Linked DNA regions of Caenorhabditis elegans. The protein of the gene in region 2 interacts with the protein of the main gene of each other region in a biochemical or structural test. Each region holds a gene or a part of one and is shown on either strand. Other genes may lie near its edges. The genes, in order: goa-1, ric-8 and gpa-16.

Evidence for each region.
Region 1: of the proteins of ric-8 (region 2) and goa-1, one has a biochemical effect on the other in vitro, tested with the Caenorhabditis elegans proteins (2 studies listed by BioGRID).
Region 3: of the proteins of ric-8 (region 2) and gpa-16, one has a biochemical effect on the other in vitro, tested with the Caenorhabditis elegans proteins (one study listed by BioGRID).

What each region holds. Positions count from the first base shown.
Region 1 is NC_003279.8:7,520,479-7,527,331, reverse strand, and holds goa-1 (Guanine nucleotide-binding protein G(o) subunit alpha), read right to left. Parts: upstream 5,217-6,853; 5' UTR 5,123-5,216; coding exon 4,962-5,122; intron 4,662-4,961; coding exon 4,520-4,661; intron 3,301-4,519; coding exon 3,140-3,300; intron 2,936-3,139; coding exon 2,807-2,935; intron 2,759-2,806; coding exon 2,629-2,758; intron 2,294-2,628; coding exon 2,140-2,293; intron 2,088-2,139; coding exon 2,014-2,087; intron 1,591-2,013; coding exon 1,477-1,590; 3' UTR 620-1,476; downstream 1-619. Other genes in the region: Zinc metalloproteinase nas-36, read right to left, coding at 1-25. UniProt on the Caenorhabditis elegans protein: Guanine nucleotide-binding proteins (G proteins) are involved as modulators or transducers in various transmembrane signaling systems. In the 1-cell embryo, probably together with gpa-16, controls nuclear rotation and spindle elongation during mitosis.
Region 2 is NC_003282.8:2,641,285-2,649,056, reverse strand, and holds the start of ric-8 (Chaperone ric-8), read right to left. Parts: upstream 6,079-7,772; 5' UTR 6,071-6,078; coding exon 5,933-6,070; intron 5,884-5,932; coding exon 5,782-5,883; intron 5,697-5,781; coding exon 5,612-5,696; coding exon of another isoform or gene 5,554-5,611; coding exon 5,484-5,553; intron 5,295-5,483; coding exon 5,117-5,294; coding exon of another isoform or gene 5,090-5,116; intron 4,644-5,089; coding exon 4,473-4,643; intron 3,697-4,472; coding exon 3,286-3,696; intron 1,944-3,285; coding exon 1,796-1,943; intron 512-1,795; coding exon 367-511; intron 316-366; coding exon 188-315; intron 1-187. Other genes in the region: nduv-3 (NADH dehydrogenase [ubiquinone] flavoprotein 3, mitochondrial), read right to left, coding at 7,038-7,189, 7,646-7,745. UniProt on the Caenorhabditis elegans protein: Chaperone that specifically binds and folds some, but not all, nascent G alpha proteins prior to G protein heterotrimer formation, promoting their stability and activity.
Region 3 is NC_003279.8:895,516-900,305, reverse strand, and holds the start of gpa-16 (Guanine nucleotide-binding protein alpha-16 subunit), read right to left. Parts: upstream 3,021-4,790; 5' UTR 3,017-3,020; coding exon 2,951-3,016; intron 2,128-2,950; coding exon 1,957-2,127; intron 1-1,956. UniProt on the Caenorhabditis elegans protein: Guanine nucleotide-binding proteins (G proteins) are involved as modulators or transducers in various transmembrane signaling systems. In the 1-cell embryo, probably together with goa-1, controls nuclear rotation and spindle elongation during mitosis.

The DNA.
Region 1 (6,853 bases), on a different chromosome or scaffold from region 2:
AAATAATTGAATGACATAATCTCATATTTCTCATGAAATAGAATAATAGTTCAATTAAAAGAGAAGATAGGAAAGTGTATGAGATATTCTCTTTTTTTTGGCAAATGAACAGAAAAAGTGAAAGTTTATCACATAGTGGGAGGAGGAGGGAAAAGCTGATGGAAAATGAACACAATTGTGTGACAAAAAGGACACATTTTTAGATGATTGTTGTAAAATTTAATGAAACTTGACATTTGGAAGGTTTTTCGCTTTAGTAACACTCACTTCCGGGTCATTTATCTTGAGAAAATCATTATCTGAAGACTATTTTTGGGGTTTCCCACTTTTGATGTTATAACAATAGGTTTTGATTTTTTTAAATCTTGGTAATGATGGGGAAATTGTTTTAAACCATGCTAATAATTCAAAATAACAATTAAATTTTAAATTCGCGCGCGAGGTTTAAACTTCTTGGTGGTTATTCAAAAAGGAGTTCAGGGAAATTTAAATTTTATCGAGTTTTAAAAATATTGGTTTTTTATCTAGACATATGTACGGTAGTCCCATATGCAATTTCCCATGCAAACTAAATCACTGTACTTTTGTATCCACCAAACTGAATTTGTACGAAAACTAGTTGAGGATGTCGTTTATATCAAATAAGATATCAATGAGTGGGTGCAGTCGACAATAAACCAATGCGGAAAATATCGTCTACTGCACACCATCGTGCTCACCGACAAAAAGCGAGACGATTTTAAAGAAAAAAGATGGAAAAATGAAAAAGTAAAAGAAAAAATAGGGAGAGGAAAACAGCGAGAAAAATGAGTTTGGAAGTGTGGTTTTAGGAAAAGGAGGGAAAATGGATGAGAGGGGAAGAGTAGAAATAGAAAAATACCAAAAATTAAAAATAAAATCTTTAAACATAGACAAAAGCTGCCATTATTTAACTGTTAACAGTGACTAGGTGTGTTGAAAAATGGGAGAAAAGAAAGAAAAAAGGGGCAAAGCTTTATAATTCGGGGTGAAGAGACCTTTAGGGGGTGTGTGGCGGAACGGGACGAATTCCAACTGAATTTAGATTTTTAAAGTTTTCTTGTTTTCAAATAGCGATAAGGCTACACGGGAGTGAGAAGGGCGGGGGATGTGGCGTGAATAATGACAATATATAATAAATAAGAAAAAAGGAAAAAATAAATAATTGTGAGTTTTATGTGTTATTTTTGTGACAGAAAAATTAGGGATCCTAGTTGAGAAAAAGAAGGGCGGTGAGACTATTATGAATGAATCAGAGGTTAAAAAAAAGCCCATATACATCTGAAATTGCAACTTTTTCCAAAAAATAAAAACAGTTGCAACCATAATGTACATGTAAAGCTCTCAAATTATAGATGCATACTCGGGGGATGAGAAAAATAACGAATCTTTAAAAATTTGGGAAAAGTAAGCAAAGATACACACAGAATGGTAGAAGAGGGCGGCGAAGACGACAGCTTAATACAAGCCGCATCCACGAAGATTATTGGCAATAATCACATCGGTGACAGCGTCAAACACAAATTGAATGTTAGTTGTGTCTGTGGCACATGTCATGTGGCAATAGATTTCCTGCAAATAAGAATATTATTTCAAAAGAAAACAAATTAAATGAAATAATGAATTAAAATTATTACCTCAACACTCAACTTTAACTACCTATTCAAATATGAAACTACAGTAACCGCAATATCGGAGAAAATGTCGAGATAGTAAAAATCTCAAATTTTGGTTGTAATTACTTAATTGAATACGATTCAGAGATTTTTCTGGTTATCATTTTCTGTGACAGATTAACAAAACAATTGAATATTCGTGTTTACTTAAAAAAAATTAAATTTTATAAATGTTTCACACTTCAAAAAATTTCCAAAATTAACTAGATATTAAAAATTATAAAAAATATTATTCTAGAAAAACAATTTATACTTTTCGTGGAACAGGAACCCCATAGGCTTCTCTGATTTCATTGATTTTTAGACTTTTTTTTCTTACCTTATTCGCTGATTTGTTTTTAGCCTCAAATTGTGCTTGAATATACGCAGATGCCTCGTGGTAGTCTTGTCGTCCTACAGGGATTAAGAAATTAAAACATTTATTGGAAATTCAATTAAATTTTACCTGAATATTCTGGGAAGCAGATCGTTAACGGGCTTTTCTTGATTTTCTCTTCAAACAGATCCTTCTTGTTCAGGAACAGAATAATCGATGTATCTGTGAACCATTTGTTATTACAGATCGAATCGAACAGCTTCAGCGATTCGTGCATTCGGTTCTGAAAATATGAAATAAGGAACAATAATGAATAATAATGAATAATGAATAATAGAATGAATAATAGAATATAATTTAAAAAAACGAGTAATTTTTAAATTATCATGTTTCTTTTATTTTGGCAAATATATTGTCGGTCAGAAGTTGCATTTTCGTTAGAAAAATTAGAAGAAGAACATTATTTTTATTATTGTAAAAGTCGACTCGAACGACCAAGTCATGATTGGAAAATCGTTTAAAAAACATAAAGTCTCTAAACGATATTTTCTAATTTTAAATTTTGTCTGTCTTTTTCAACAAAAAAGCTTCTAAAATATTAAAATATCAATTTCTCACTGTTGTCTCATCTTCGTGCAACACTTGATCATACTCTGACATGGCAACACAGAAAATAATAGCAGTAACATCTTCGAAACAATGAATCCACTTCTTCCTTTCTGATCTTTGACCTCCCACATCGAACAATCTGTAAATATTCATTATTAAATATTATTTTTTTATCAAGAAAACTCACTTGAAATTGAGATTTTTGAATGTGAAGTGAACTTCAACAATACCAGTTGTTTTGACACGAGTTCGGAGAATATCTTGCTCAGTTGGTTGATATATTGCCTCTCCTAACCTTTCCAGGTCGTCAAGGAAACTGAAAAAATGGTTATTAATAAATTCTATAAACTGCGAAATTTCTTGAAATTTTAAATTTGGTAATATTGAAAATGAGCTTGACATGTAACATATTGATTCGAAATTTAGGAAACTCTTCTCAATTTATGAAAAAAACCACTTTGGTTGTTATGGAGATAATAGTTACTTGAAATAATTTTTCAAAATTTTGAATTAAACTTACTATTTGGCTGAATCATTCAATTGATACTCGTTACTCCTTGAGAAACAATCCTGTACACCTGCGTCTCCCCACAACCGTTTCATTGAACTGAGCAATTCTTCTGAGAATGGCTCTGTGTCCTCCATTCGTGCCACCACATCCATCACTAATTTTGCATCTACCTGAAACAAAAAACTTTGATTTTAGTTCTCGATAACTTTATTCGCTGATGAAAATTGAATAATTCACAGCATGTCATGTACATCATTTTCCCAATTTTCTCACAAAATTGAAATTGGATCCTTGGCTCTCTTCCAATGGTTTGTCCAAAGGTCTCAAAATGGTCATTTTATTTCAATTATCTCAAATTACTTTATATTCGGTGACATGCATAGTCACGTCTTGTTAAGATTAAGGATATATATAAAATTGAATGATAAATGTTCGATCTTCACATCAAAAACTTTTTTACGTTTTCGACACGACAAATTTTTGTTGAATGCTAAAATATGTTTATATTTATTCTTACGATTTGTTAAAGTTAATTCGTAAATATTTGATTGTTATTTATTAATTTTTAAAATAAATGAATACGTTTTTATTGAATAACTATGAAAAATCGATTAAAAATTTGGCTGCAACGAAAATTAAACATTACAGTACTCTTTAAAGGCGCACACCTTCTTGCATTGAACACAAATTCATCGTATAAAAACCGGGAATTGCATTTGTGACGCAATAACAAAACATTTGACGTCTGAATGATGTAAAATCTTCTCCAAAACGTTGGGAACATTTTTTTCTGATGATTTGCCACATCAATCGAAAATGTGTTCCCAAAGATTTTCCAACATTCTAGAATCCCTTCCAAATCCCAATTCAAAATTCCTGCCTCGAACATATATTTTTGGAATACTAGGTCGAGTCTACGAGTTTGTCGGTGGCGCGTCGCGCATCGAAACTCACAAGGGAATTGGAATGGGACGGTGGTGTGGTAGCGGGATGCATTGAGTGCAACGAGAGGCAATAAGAGTTGCAGAATGTAAGAGAGAGAGAGAGAAAAAGATACCGAGCCAATGAATACAACAGATTATGTCATTTATTCTCATGCTCTTCGTTTTTCGTATCTTTTTATTCGTTATTTTCCAAATATTTCGAATTACTCTTCAGAACACGGGAAACATTTTTAATTGAATAATGTTTATGTTCTATCTATAGATCACAATCGCAAGTAAATTTCAGAAAAATAAGTTTTATTTTGAAGTAACGTTTTTGTCGTGCTAATCATTAGCAGCTAATGGACCGAAATTAATTTTTTCCATTAAGGGATCACTTGAAAATTTCGTGCCTCATTTTTAAATAATTTCGATTTTTTTGCAGAAAAATTGTCATAATACTCACCTCTCTGTCAGCCGAACCAAATGAAACGCCTAAGTTGCTCATGGCTCGCAAAATAGCGACCAATGATTGAACCGTGTTACTGTAGACAACCGGCTTGTACTGTTTGTAGTCTTCTGCTGTGAATCCCGATTCGTGAATAATTCTGAAAAAAAAACATTAAAATGTGAAAATTTGTAAAGGCGTGTTTCAAATTTAAACTATTAGAGAGTTGAACTTACTTTTCAAATTTTGAATACGAAAAAAAAATTAATAGCAGTCTCTAGTGATTTATTTACTTTTTAATTAAATTTAATTTTTAATAATTCAAATCGATCAAACGAAATATTCGGACGTTCTATGGGACAATTTCGGATGATAAATTCTGAGTTTTTCACCATTTATTTCTACCATTTTCGTTTATATATGTTTTAATTTGTTATTTAGAAATTTAAAAAAATCTCACTTCATCTGTTTTACAATAGTCGATTTTCCTGATTCTCCTGCACCAAGTAGCAGCAGTTTGATATCTTTTGCCGCTTGCATGCCGTCTTCTTTAAGATTTTTCTCAATCATTCGTGATCTTTCAAGAGCGGCACGCTCTTCCTGTGACATGGTACAACCCATGGCGCTAGAGTTGATGAACGGTGGACCCTATGCCCCGGTAGCGGTCTCCACTTGATATCCTCTACTCACTCACTGTATGTGGTGCAGCTCAGCGCTGAAAATAAATTGAAAAAATTAGAATCGAAGTAAGTTATAGCGGGTTAAAAAATAAGGAAAAGAAAAAGCAATCGAGCGAAAAAAAGGGACACAGTGAGATGGAGAATGAAGAAATGGATGGATGAGGGATCGAGGGCAGAATATAGATGAGATGAGAGGAGATGACAAAAATGACGAATGAGGAAAATAGAGGGTGCACGTCGTCAAGGCGACTAATTTTTATTGAATTTTCTTACTTTTTCATTAATTTATTTTAGTGGTAGAAATATGCAACCTACAATACTCTAAACAGGGCCTTTCTAATTTTTGCGCAAACATTTTTTCAAATCAGACGTTCTCTCAGATTTCTTTGGAGCAGCGTCAGTGGGGAAATTGTTAAAACGTTTGCATGTTCGAATCCCTGCAATGTTTGAGTACTAAATTCGAAGGTGAAATTTTTCTTGATCTACGACAGAAAAATGTACTAACTGTTAAACTTGCAGATGAACTAAATTAGTTATATTTCAAGAATGATCAGAGATTGTTCATTCAGTTTTCTATTTTAGAATCAATTGGTTTAATCTGAAATCGAAATGAAAATCAGCTAATCGAGGATAAACATGTTTTGCAAAATCAACCAAAAAGAAATTTTACTACATGCTTCCGGCCGGGTCAACGTTCTCCACAAAAAGGTTAGAAAATAGATAATTTGTAAAGAACAGAAGCAAAAAAATAGACGACAACGTCTTCGATTTTTCCGTTTTCACTGCTTCTGCTTCTTCTCTTTCTTCGTTGTCGTCGTCGTCCTTCTTTTTCTTTTTTTTTTGCGTGGCGCAAAAAAATGGGGGAGCAACTGCGACGACGACGGCGAGCAGGATGGTGGGGTTGGAGAAGGAAAATAGAGAGAAAAGCGAGGGCGAGGAGAAGAAGAAGGTCATGGGCATAGCAGAAAAGGGGTAGTAGTAGCCAGGGGCAGCCAGTAGCCGAAACAGGAGAGCCCCATCGTTCAGGGGGCAGCGACAGTGAAGACGAGGGTCGGCGGCTACTTGCGTTGCGTGTCGATTCGAATTTTAAATCATGATGAGGATCAGAACCATGCAGATATTCTAGTAGTCGGAGTTATCTGATCACAGGCGGCGTTTGAGTTAAAATCTTAAAATATTGCATAAAAACTTAAATTGTCTGACAGCCTTAATAGCGACTTTATGATGCCGAAAACTACTATTTAAAATTTAAGTTTCAATCGACGAACAGCGCCGTAGACTAGGTCTCCGTGAACCAAAAGCTATAGGAACATAAAGCCTTTTTCCATGTGCCTAATTGTTTTATTTTCATAATAAATGCATAGACAGCACTGGCAGCGATACACAAGGAGACATGTTGAGTGCCGTACACCGGAGACCACAGCTGGACCCTCTTACAGATTTTCCAGTCGAAGAACGGAGACGAGGGGACACGAATAATAAACAATGAGTGAAAGTATGAAAGGGAAAATCAAGAAAAGATAAAAATAGTGGATTACGCAGAAATAAAACCTTAACTTGAAATATTTTACTATTAGTTTGGAATTTAACCTTATGGGAAGCTCATTCATGAAAGTGTTCACAATTCTCATAAAATCGTTCCAATGTGGTTTGAGCCAGTAAATATGGCGGG
Region 2 (7,772 bases):
CCAAAAAATTAGAATTTTCTGCAAAATATCGTCACGATTTTGATGAATTTCATCAAATTTCGTGCAATTTTTTATATTTTTTTGGGGGGATTTCACCAATTGTTTTCCAGATTTTTCTGCTGCAAAAAACCTGAATTTTATGTCAAATTTCATCAAATTTTCGCGCAATTTTCTCCGAATTTCTCACCAGTTTCCATCATTTGATTCATAGCATCAACCAGCTTCATCGCTTCATACTCTTTTTGCTCTTCAGACATTCCGGCAAGTGCACTTCCGTGATCCGATGGATAAATTGCTCCGGTCACTGGATTTACACTGAAAATCTCTTTTTTTCCATGGATTTTATGCACAAAAAGTATAGCATACCTATCCTTAATCTGATTATAATCCTCAGTTTCACTATCCTCACTGTCCGACGCGTGTTTTGGTTGATTGATTTGTCCGAGAAGACCCAAATTTGCGAGGTGACCGGCCGAGTGGCCGAATCCAAGGTATTTGATCATTCGATTCACTGGAAAAAGGGAATTTTTTAAAGATAAACCCTCACAAATTTTCCAAAACTGACGTTTTTGAAGGCGGAGTACCGAAATCTGGGAAATATTTTGAATTGGCTCAAAATTTTCCCTTGATTGTTGTGGAATGGGGAGCCATTCCACAATGTCTCGTCCTACGATCTCTTCAGAGATCTCTCAGACGAGGTTTCTATGACAAAGAGCCGCAGAAGTCATTCTTTCTTCTGCGTCTCTCGCTCTCATACGCTCTCTCACAAGAGTCACACTCGCGCCCCACAGCGACATTAGCTGCGCGACGACTCAAGCGACGACAGGATACGCAGCCATTGGACGCCACCACTTCAGTCTTGATGCTGCGCTCGTGCCGAACGGTCGTGCGTGGCACTTCTCTCCCGACGCATCCCCCATTTTCCTTTGTAATTGCCCCTCACTATTATTCATGTACTTGCTCCGATATCCAAGGAGAACCCGACAATCTCTGATAACCAAAGAGAACCCGACAAACTCCAATAACCAAGGAGTTTCCAGGCCTTCCCCCTACTTTATCCTCTCTCCCTCTTGTATTGTAATTCTTATAATTACTATATAAATTAATATATTTATACATTTGTTCTGTCACTAGCTCTATATTCAAGTCTCCTCGGGAGCAAGACCACCGCATTCATCCGCACTGCCACAGCGCTCCTTCCAGACTATACATACTCTTTCTTCGGTCTCGAGTCACTCTTCGTTACGGCTTAAAGGCTCGGTCGCCGCCTCCGGGTGCCACAACATTGATTCCGAATATCTTTGTGAAAAAATTCAAAAAAAAAATTTCCCTGATTTTATATTTCAAGCTTGATTGAAATCACGAATTTTGTGGCGCCAGAGACGCCTTGTGTCGATTTACGAGATTTGTGTATATTTACGAAATATTTGCTTAGGTTGCACTCCTTGACGGAAAATCCATCCAAATTGAAGCTTTTTCCGACTGAAAACCGAACATTTTGCAAATTTTTTTATACCTTAATAGACCTTAAAAATAGCCGAAAATCAGGGAAACTCGTAGAAAAAAGGGGGAAGTCAGCATCTGATAAAGATTAAACATTTCGTAAATATACACAATTCTCGTAAATCGACACACAAGGCGTCTTTGGCGCCACAAAATTCGCAGGGATTTTTTTTCTGAATTTTTCACATAGATATTATTGGAATCAGGGGAATATTTGAAGTCATTCGAAATTTTTTCCAGATTTCTGTACTCTAACTTAAAAAAAAAACTTTGAATTAAGTTAATTTCGTACCTGATCTCTTGCAAATAATGAAAAGGAACTCGGCGGCGACATCTTTCGTTGACGACGGAAGCATCATAATTCTAGCGATTCGGCCACGTAGTGTATTGTTCTCCTCCGGCCGTTTTTGCACTTCTTCTGATACCAGTGGGGGAATTACCTGCAAAAATTCGAAAATTTTGAATTTTTTTTTGAAGCTTTCAAAAACGACATTTTCATATAATTTTTTAATAATTTTACTAGTGTATTTTGTGAAAAAAAAATTTTTTAATCAGAACATGAATAAATTTTTCTATATACCTTTTTAATTGACTCCAAATTTGCTCTCTGATTCCGAATATCTAAGTGAAAAAATTCAAAAAAATTTCCTTGATTTTATATTAGAGCCTAAAATCGCGCAGTTCATTTGTGCACCCATGAACTTTTTTCAAATTCGCGCCGAAATAAATTATCCTTGGAGCGCGTTTGTCTCAATTAATTTCAAAACGCGCTCCGGGGATAATTTTTTTCGGCGCGAATTTGAAAAAAGTTCATGGGTGCACAAATGAAATGCGCGATTTGAAGCCCAAATAGAAAATCAGGGAATTTTTTTTGAATTTTTTCACATCGAAATTCGGAATCAGGGAAAAATTTGGAGTCAATTAAAAATATTTCCCGGATTTCGGTACCCCATCTTTAATAATTTTACTGATGTATTTTGTGAAAAATGTTTTTTTAAATCAGATCATTTTTTTTTCATAGAGGCGGAAGATTTTTTTTTAAATTTTTTATAAAATGTCTTGAATTTTTTTCAAATTTTCAAAATTTCCCTATCAACACTGCAACTTTTTCCTCACGAGGGACGAGGAAAAGTGGTTTCTAGGCCATGGCCGAGGGGCCGACAAGTTTCAGCGGCCATTTATCTTGCTTTGTTTTCCGCCTGTTTTCTTTTGTTTTTCACAGCTTTTTCCCGTTTTTTCTTATTAAAACTGAAAATAAATATTTTTTGCAGATGCTAAAACAATTTCCAAGTGAAAAAATTTATGTATTCAGTGGGCAAGCAGCGGTGAAAGTGGGCATTGTAATATGATGGATTACGGGAATACAAAACCTAAACTTTTTCTGAAACATAATACATATGCTGCTTAAATGCTGAGACTACCTGATTTTCATAACGAGACCGCTGAAAAAGTTTTGAGGTTTCCAAAATTCAACTTTTTTGGTGAAAAAGTCGAGATTTTCGCACATCCGCTACTTGCCCACTGAATACATAATTTTTTTACTTGGAAATTGTTTTAGCATCTGCAAAAAATATTTATTTATCAGTTTTCTTAAGAAAAAAACGAAAAAAATCAGTGAAAAACGAAAGAAAACAGGCGGAAAACAAAGCAAGATAAATGGCCGCTGAAACTTGTCGGCCCCTCGGCCATGGCCTAGAAACCACTTTTCCTCGTCCCTCGTGAGGAAAAAGTTGCAGTGAAATTTTCAAAATTTCCCTATCAAGTGTTTTTTTTTTCACGAACCCGAATTCTACAATATCTGCGAACATATTTACTATCCGTACAAAGCCTAGCGAGAACTTGAAAATATGGTCCAACAAGATCTGTAAGTGTTGAAGCTTCTGCCGACAACATTGGATTCTGCTGCTGATTTGGAGCATCATTGAGCAGTAGAGCAACGACTTTTGTTAGTTGCTTATCCAAATGCATGAGAATTGCCTCGGTGAGCTGCATATTGCTAAGTTCCTCAACAAAGAATTTCTCCTCCTCGTTTTCTCCTCCGTTATTTTTTGAATTTTTTCCACAAAGTACTGAGAGGACCATTGGTAGTGGTGGAACTGATAAGCAATGAATTGCAGATTGAACGACGTCATCGGTGAGCACATCGGAGCAAATTGCGTCACGAAGGATTTGGCACGTTTTTGCCGCGTTTTTCTGAAAAAAAAAACTTTTTTTCGTCGTAATTTGTAGCAAAACTTTGACATTTTTTATGGAATTTTTGATACTTTTGGGGTTAAAAATTTGAAAAATAAATGAATTTTTTCAGAAATGTGCTTTAAAAAAATTTTAAAAAATTCTGACATTCCTAGATAATTTTACAAAATTTACCGCAATTTAGAAGAATTTTCACGAGAATTTAAAGCTGAAAAAAAACGAAAATTCAGAAAAAATGCGAAAAAAGCGAAAAAAAAAGAAATTTTTTTTTCGCAAATTTTTAATTTATTTTTTATTTTTTGGGCCAATTTCAGGAAGTTTCTCAGAATTTTTCTGCTCAATTCAAAAAAAATATGATATATAATTATATATTAAATTAATTTGTTTTTTTGGAAAATAAAAATAGAGTGATATTTCATGATTTAAAAAAAATGAAAATAAAACGAAAATCGATGATTTTTATCTTTTTTTTAATCTAAAAAAACCTCAAAAATCTCAAAAAATTGCATTTTTTATGACGATTTCTATAGAAAATCGTCATTTTTGGATTTTTGATATTTTTCAATGAAAATTCCTGAAAAACCGGAAAATTTCACCGATTAATCGTACGAAAATTGGAAGTTTTTATATGAATTTTTTTTTTTAATTTGGAATTTCAAGTTAAAAACTCGAATTTTTGTAGTTTAAAAAAAAAAAGTTTTAAAAAATTCAAAAAATCGCATTTTTAAGGTATAAATTTTGGTATTTCAGTTTTTTTTTTTTTTTTGAATTTTTACATGATCAATAGCCTTCACATCTCCGTGAAAATGGCAAAAAACGTTGAAAAACGTCTTCAACGCCTCGGTAGCTCGATTTATATCCTGAGTGCTGTTTTCTGATCGATTTGTGCAAATTTCGACGGCCAAAAGCAGAGAATCAATGGTTTTTGGGTCGTTGGCCCAGTTTTTCTGCAAAAAAAAAATTAGTTTTTCACAAAAAAACTAAAAATTTTCATGAATATTCGCAGATTTTCTCATAAAAATTGAAATAAAAAAATTTATTTTTTGTAAAAATTGATTAAAAACCTATAATTTTTATGTTTTCCAAAATTTTTTGTAAAAAAAAATCTGAAATAATAAAAAAAATTTCGAACCGCGACGCGACCGCAACGCGCGGTCCACAGTTTTTAAAAACTAAATTTGCCGATAAAAATCACACAAAAATCGGTTTTTTCAGGCAGAAAATTCAAATTTTTTCTGAGAAATCTGAATTTATTGAACCGCGACGCAACCGCAACGCGTGGCATCGCTCAAAACTCGAAAAATATGTGTATTTCCAGTAAAAAACGCTCGATTTTTCTGCCGATTTTACACGAGTTTTCTCCAAAATTCGGGTCATTTTTGTGTCAAAAAATTCAAATTTTTCGTGTCGTTTCGAGCACCTGAAATTCCCTGCCCAATGCAGTTGCAATAAAAGCGATCCGATGATAGAAATACCAAATTTCGGCGGCTTGAACCGGATTCAGAAGGCGAATCCAATCGATTGACGACGTTTTTCGGCGGTTTTCCTCGAATTCTCCGAGGAAAAATTGCAAATTTTCACCAGTTTTCGGGTTTGCACTGCAAAAATCGTGTTTTTTTTCTAATTTTTAGCTAATTTTCTTAGAAATTCAATTAAAAATCAGATTTTATAGATTTTTTTCTAATTTTTTTTTCGGAAAATAACCTTTTTTTCCACTTTTAAAGGATTTTTTACACTTTCCTATGCAAAAAATCACTTTAAAATCGATTTTTCAATTGAAAACTCACTAAAATCGATCTCTCATTCGTTGTGAGTGAAACAAAGTGTTGATTAGACATTTTTGCGCCTCCATTAGTGCTGAAATTATGATTTTTGGCGGGAAATTCGAGAATTTTTAGGCTCAAAATTGCCTTACTGTGGACAGTTTTCGAGTTATTTTCGTTTGACGAGAGTTCCGCGAAGGCGAGGATTTTATCGCAGAGCGGGTCGTTCAGGAGGCCCTGGAAATTGGGAAAATTGGGGTTTTTTAGTTTTTTAGCTGAAAAATCCGAATTTTCAGTTCAAAATTGCGTAGTATTTCCCTACCTCCAATCCATCTTTTTCCCTACTCAAAATCTTTATCGTCTCCAGCAGCACGTGGGTCAGCTCTCCGTTTTCTATAACCTCACAAATCCGGTCTCCGAGCTCCTGAAAACTGGAAATTTATTGCAAAAACTAATTAATTAAAATCTCTCACATTCTTTGCCGAGTTCGCCATATCGAATTTTGAGACAGCGGCGTTCGCGAAATTCCATTTCGAGAAGAATTCCTCGATTTTGGCAGGCTTCCCGCCGAAAATCGACGCAATCAGGTCGGAATGTAGTTCTTCAGACATGGAATTGCCTGAAAATCATGAAAAATTAATTATTTACGAGAAAAAATGCAATTTCAGGATCGAACAATTCAAAAAATCGCGAATTTTTGTGATGCTAAACAGCACGCGCATGCGGGATTTCGGAGCATCGTTAAAAATTGTTTTAAAAAAAGCGAAAAATTACTTTTTTTCCGAGGTTTTTAATGATTTTTTTTACGGTTTTTGTTGAAAAATAACAGAATTTTAACTGGTTTTCGGAAAAATTTCAGATTTTACTCTCTCCAATCGTATTTATGGCAGAATCAAAGAAACGAGGAGAAAAATAGTGAAAATTCGATTTTTTTTTTTTCACTAGCTTATTCTGAAAAAAAAACCCTTATTATTTGCATCGAAACACCATTTTTGGTCATTTTGAAGTGATTTTTCATTGAAGTAATTGCGAAAAATAATGAAAATCAACAATTTCGATCAAAATTTTGCAATTTTTTCGATTTTTCCCTCGAATCTCTCGAAAATAATGCGATTTTGATTGAAAAAATTAAAAATTCAATGAATATGACATCTGCTTCTCTGAACAAAAGCTAGCGACGCCCATCACCATGGAAACTCGCTGCTAGGTAATCCCTTGTGGCGGCAATCACCGTGGGAACGAGCAGGCATTAAAGAAAAATTGTGCTTCGGCTTATTATTGTGTTAAAATTTATTTTTTTAGGCGGAAAAACAGCAAAAATTCACAAAAAAAATTCGAAAAACCGCCATTTTTTGAGCAATGATAAACAACATGCACGTGCGGAACATCGGAGCATCGTTGTGTTTTTTTCGTTTTTCAACGACTTGTTACTAGATAATTAAGCATGGAAACAGCCATGAAATCAATAAAATTAAAAAATCTATGTAAAAACTCATATTTATACGAAAAATCTACACAAAAAAAATGATAAAATCCACCGAAAACTCTATTTTTCACACAGAAAATGTCGAAAAAAGATTAAGCTCGAACTTTCGGAAGAACGTCGGCCTTCTTGTAGGACGGCTGAACGACACGATCCTTGTTCATGGTGATTTCGGCGTGAGCGTACGAGTATTTGTCGAATTTCAGGTATTCGTCGCATTTGTACAGTGACCAATCGGGTTTTCCGCCTGAAAATTGAGAGATTTTGCGTGGAAATTGGATGGAAATTGGGAAAAACTTGTCTGAAATTCGATTTTTTTTCTAGAAAAATGCACATTTTTCCAGAAAATTAGACTTTTCATAGTTTTTTTTTCTGACAAAAATCGATATTCTGCTCATTTTTAATGTTTAATCAGAATATTTTCGGCTAAAATCGATTTTAACAAGAAAAATGGCGAAAAATCGACATTTTTTGCAGAAACTAGCTTTTTTCAATGAAATTGTAACTAAAAATTTAGCTATTCACAAGTTCTAATGCAAAAAATCAAATATTTCAGTGATTTTACGGGAAACATCGAATTTTCGTGCCATTTCCGCAAAAATTCAACTTTTTCAGCTATTTTTAAGGAATTTTTTGGCTTAAACTTTTTCAATACAATATTATGACGGATTATTATCTAGTTTAGAGTTTCAGAAAGCCATACCAGCGACCTGTCTGGCCTTCTCTGCGTGCTCGATTCCGGTGCTCGTTTTTGGAGCCGCCGACGCCATCCGACGAGCCGAAATAACCATCAAGCGGTTCATTTCTGAAAAAAAAAACTTATTTATCAA
Region 3 (4,790 bases), on a different chromosome or scaffold from region 2:
GAATTTTTGGTAAAAAACAGAGCATTTTTGGCTATAATTTGTTTAATTTTTTGGACAAATTTAGGGATTTTCTCTTAATATTCTATTTTTTTGGTAAAAAACAGTGAATTTTTGGCTATGATTTGGTGAAGTTTCTGCTGAAATTAGAGTTTTTTTTGTCAAAAATCGGTGAATTTTTGGACAAAATTAGGGATTTTTCGCCTAATATTTTAGATTTTTTTTGGAAAAAAAAGAGCATTTTTGGCTATAATTTGGTAAATTTTGTGCTGGAATTAGAGTTTTTTTTTGTCAAAAACAGAGCATTTTGGAGTAAATTCGGTGAATTTTTTGGGAAAAATTAGGGATTTTTTACCTAATATTCTAGAATTTTTGGTAAAAAACAGAGCATTTTTGGCTATAATTTGTTTAATTTTTTGGACAAATTTAGGGATTTTCTCTTAATATTCTATTTTTTTGGTAAAAAACAGTGAATTTTTGGCTATGATTTGGTGAAGTTTCTGCTGAAATTAGAGTTTTTTTTGTCAAAAATCGGTGAATTTTTGGACAAAATTAGGGATTTTTCGCCTAATATTCTAGATTTTTTTTGAATTTTTGAGTAAATTTGGTGAACTTTTTGCTGAATATGGCAGGTTTTTTTAGTCGAAAATTGGAGAATTTTGAACAAAATTGGCAAATTTTTCGGCCAAAATTAGGGATTTTTTGGCCAAAATTTGTGAATTTTCTCCTAATATTGTAGGTTTTTTTTTTGTGAAAAACAGACAATTTTTGAGTAAATTTTGTGAATTTTTTGTTGGAATTGGAGTTTCTTTTGTCAAAAATTGGTGATTTTTTAGCCGAAATTAGTGATTTTTCGCCTAATATTTTAGATTTTTTTGGTAAAAATCAGAGAGTTTTAAGCTGAAATTGGAGGTTTTTTTTGTCAAAAATCGGTGAATTTTTAGCCAAAATTAGGCATTTTTCACCTAATATTCTAGATTTTTTGGTTAAAAAGAGAGAATTTTTGAGTAAAAATGGAGAATTTTGGGCCAAAATTAGGGATTTTTTGAATAATTTTTTAGACTTTTTTGGTTAAAATTTGGTGGATATTGGGTAAAATTGAAGAATTTTGAACAAAAATCGGTGAATTTTTGACCAAAATTAGGTTATTTTCGCCTGATATTTTATAGATTTTTCTGTTAAAATTTGGCAAAAAAATTGGTGAATTTTCAACAAAAAATAGGAGAATTTTTGGTAAAAATTAGAGTTTTTGGGCGAAATTGGGTAATTTTTGGTTTAATTGTGTAATTTATGCATTTTTTAGCCAAAAAAGGGAGAATTTTGAGCAAATTCGGTGAATTTTTTTGTCAAAAATTGGAGAATCTTAAACGAAAATTGGTGAATTTTTTGGCTAAAAATAGCGAATTTTTTGGCTAAAATTAACGGATTTTTTGGCTAAAAATAGCGAATTTTTTGGCTAAAAATAGCGAATTTTTTGGCTAAAATTAACGGATTTTTTGGCTAAAAATAGCGAATTTTTTGGCTAAAATTAACGGATTTTTTGGCTAAAAATAGCGAATTTTTTGGCTAAAATTAACGGATTTTTTGGCTAAAAATAGCGAATTTTTTGGCTAAAATTAACGGATTTTTTGGTTAAAATAGCGGATTTTTTGGTTAAAATAGCGGATTTTTTGACTAAAATTAACGGATTTTTTGCCTAAAATTAACGGATTTTTTGGCTAAAAATAGCGAAATTTTTGGCTAAAATTAACGGATTTTTTGGCTAAAAATAGCGATTTTTTGGCTAAAAATAGCGAATTTTTTGACTAAAATCAACGGATTTTTTGGTTAAAATAGCGAATTTTTTGGCTAAAATTAGCCGATTTTTGATTAAAATTAACGGATTTTTTGGTTAAAATCCACGAATTTTGGTCAAAATTGCCAATTTCCTGTCATTTTTCAGTGCATCGGAGCACTGACCAAAATAATATTTCCATAAACGACGCCTCTGAACACTTTTCTCTCTTCAGTCGTATATCCGACGTCGTGAATGATACGCATCTGCTTTAAAATCGTCGATTTTCCAGACTCGCCGGCTCCCAGGAGCAGAAGCTTGATGGTTCGCATTGAGTTCTCGCCGTCTTCTTTGAGCTGCAAAAAAATTTGGGATTTTTAGCCAATTTTTCAGGGTTTTTTTTTCCAAAAAAAAACAACAATTTTATTGATTTTCAGGCAATTTTTGAATTTTTTTGAAATAAAAATCTAGTTTTTAATGCAAATTTTGGGATTTTTGGACTTTTTATAAGCGAAAAACTGTTTTTCGTGGTTTTTATTGATAATTTTTCAGGTTTTCTACAAAAAAAAAAACTTTTTTTAAATTGATTTTTAGGCTATTTTACAGTTTTTCCAGAAAAAAAACCGATTTTTTATTGCTTTTTAGGTAATTTTTCAGATTTTCTAGATAAAAACCAATTTTTTGATAATTTTTCAGGTTTTCTCACACAAAAATCGATTTTTTGTTGATTTTTTGGCAGTTTTTCAGATTTTCTATTTAAAAAATCCAATTTTTTATAGATTTTTAGACAATTTTTCAGGGTTTTTCCCAAAAAACCGATTTTTTATTGATTTTTTTCGTAATTTTTCAAATTTTCTCCCAAAAAATCGATTTTTATTAATTTTTTAGACTATTTTTCAGATTTTCTACAAAAAAAACTGATTTTGAGTAGATTTTTAGACAGTTTTCCAGATTTTTTAAGAAAAAAAATCCGATTTTTTTATTGATTTTTATGAACTTTTTGAATTTTTTAAAAATAAAAATCTAGTTTTCACTGCAAATTTTGCGATTTTTTGAGGTTTTCGAGCAAAAATTCTAGTTTTTAGTGAAATTTTTCGGTTTTTGAAGCAGTTTTGATGATTTTTCTATATTTTTTCACAAAAAATCGAGTTTTTTCAACGAAAAATCCCCAATTTTTACCAATCGATCAATCTTCTTGGATCTTCGTTTCGCTGCTTCATCCTCCTGGCTCATAATACACCCCATTGCGCTGAAAAAAAAGGGAATTTTATGTGAATAATATCGGCGATTTTAGGTGAAGAAAGTTGAGAAAAATGTAAAATTCTGTAGAAAATGGCTAAAAAATGGGGTTTTTTCGGCTTTTTTCAGAATATTTTAAGGTTTTTGGGCAATTTTTATTGAAAAATTGACGATTTTTGTCAATTTTTGCAATATAAGAGCTCAGAAATGCTCATTTTTGTCGAATTTTTAGGTGAAAAACGTCAAATTTCAAGGAAAAACCTCAAAAAACATGCCATTTTACTCAAAATTCGAAATTTGTCAGTTATTACAAGATTTTTAGCGTTTTTTTTTTCGGAAAAATGCTCTAAAATTTAAAATTTTTATTATTTTTCAGCGAAAATGCTCTAAAAATTCAAGATTTTTAGTATTTTTTCAGAAAAATGCACTAAAAATTGAGATTTTTAGCATTTTTCCGAAAAAAATGCTCTGAAATTCAAGATTTTAAGCATTTTTTCGAGAAAAATGCTCTAAAATTTAAGATTTTTAGCATTTTTCATTAAGAATGCTCTGAAATTCAAGATTTTAAGCATTTTTTCTGGAAAATGCTCTAAAATTTAAGATTTTTAGCATTTTTCCGGGAAAATGCACTAAAAATTGAGATTTTTAGCATTTTTTCTGGAAAAATGCACTAAAATTCAAGATTTTTAGCATTTTTTCCGGAAAAATGAGAATTTTTCGCTGAAAAATGTCAAATTTCACTCAAAATTCGATATTTTTCAGACTTTGAGGTTATTTTTTCTTAAATACAAAATGAAAATGTCGAATTTGAAATAAAATGATCTAAAATTTAAGATTTTTAGCATTTTTTCAACAAAAAAGCTATAAAAATTAAGATTTTTAGCTTTTCTCGGGAAAAATGCTAAAAATCTTAAATTTTAAAGCATTTTATTTCAAATTCGACATTTTCATTTTGAATTTTTTTTCCGCTAAGCACTAAAATTCAAGATTATTAGCATTTTTCCGGCAAAAATGCACTAAAAATTGAGAATTTTTCGCTGAAAAACGTCAAATTTCACTCAAAATTCACATTTTCAAGGCTTTTAGGTTAATTTTGGGGGAATTTTTTTCTCAAAAACTAAATGAAAAATGATAAATTTAAAATAAAAGGCTCCCAGAAAAAAGATATATATTGCTCGTCATATCGGATGCCGCAGACGCGCAGAGAAGTGCTTTACACAAACAATTGCAACATTTTTGTGTTTTTCTCTGCGCAGGGGCTTCGAGTTAATCGAAAATACATGATTAATTGGGAAAACTGGCACAAAAATTGGCCATTTTTAATGAAATTCGGCAATTTTCGCGATGAAAAATGCATTGAAAATGATGTTTTCCGCGAATTTTCGCTTTTTTCCCGCCGTATTTGTTTCTTGTTTCTTGTGAAGTGGAGGGGGCAAAAGCATGGGAAAACTCTGAAAGTTTAAACTAGTTTGAGCATCTTTTAGTGCGAAAAAGGCGTTAAAGAAGGGATTTTCAAACATTTTTCCGAAAAAAATGCTAAAAAACTTAGATTTTAGAGCATTTTTCTTGCAAAAAAATGATTAAAATCTTGCATTTTAGTGAATTTTTCTGAAAAAAAGGGCTAAAAATCTTAAATTTTAGAGCATTTTTCTGAAAAATTGCTAATAATCTAAAATTTTAGTGCATTTTTCCGAAAAAATGCTAAAAATCTGACGGTTTCTGTGCAATATTTATTGAAAAATTGGCGATTTTCATCAACTTTTGCGACAAAAGAGCTCAG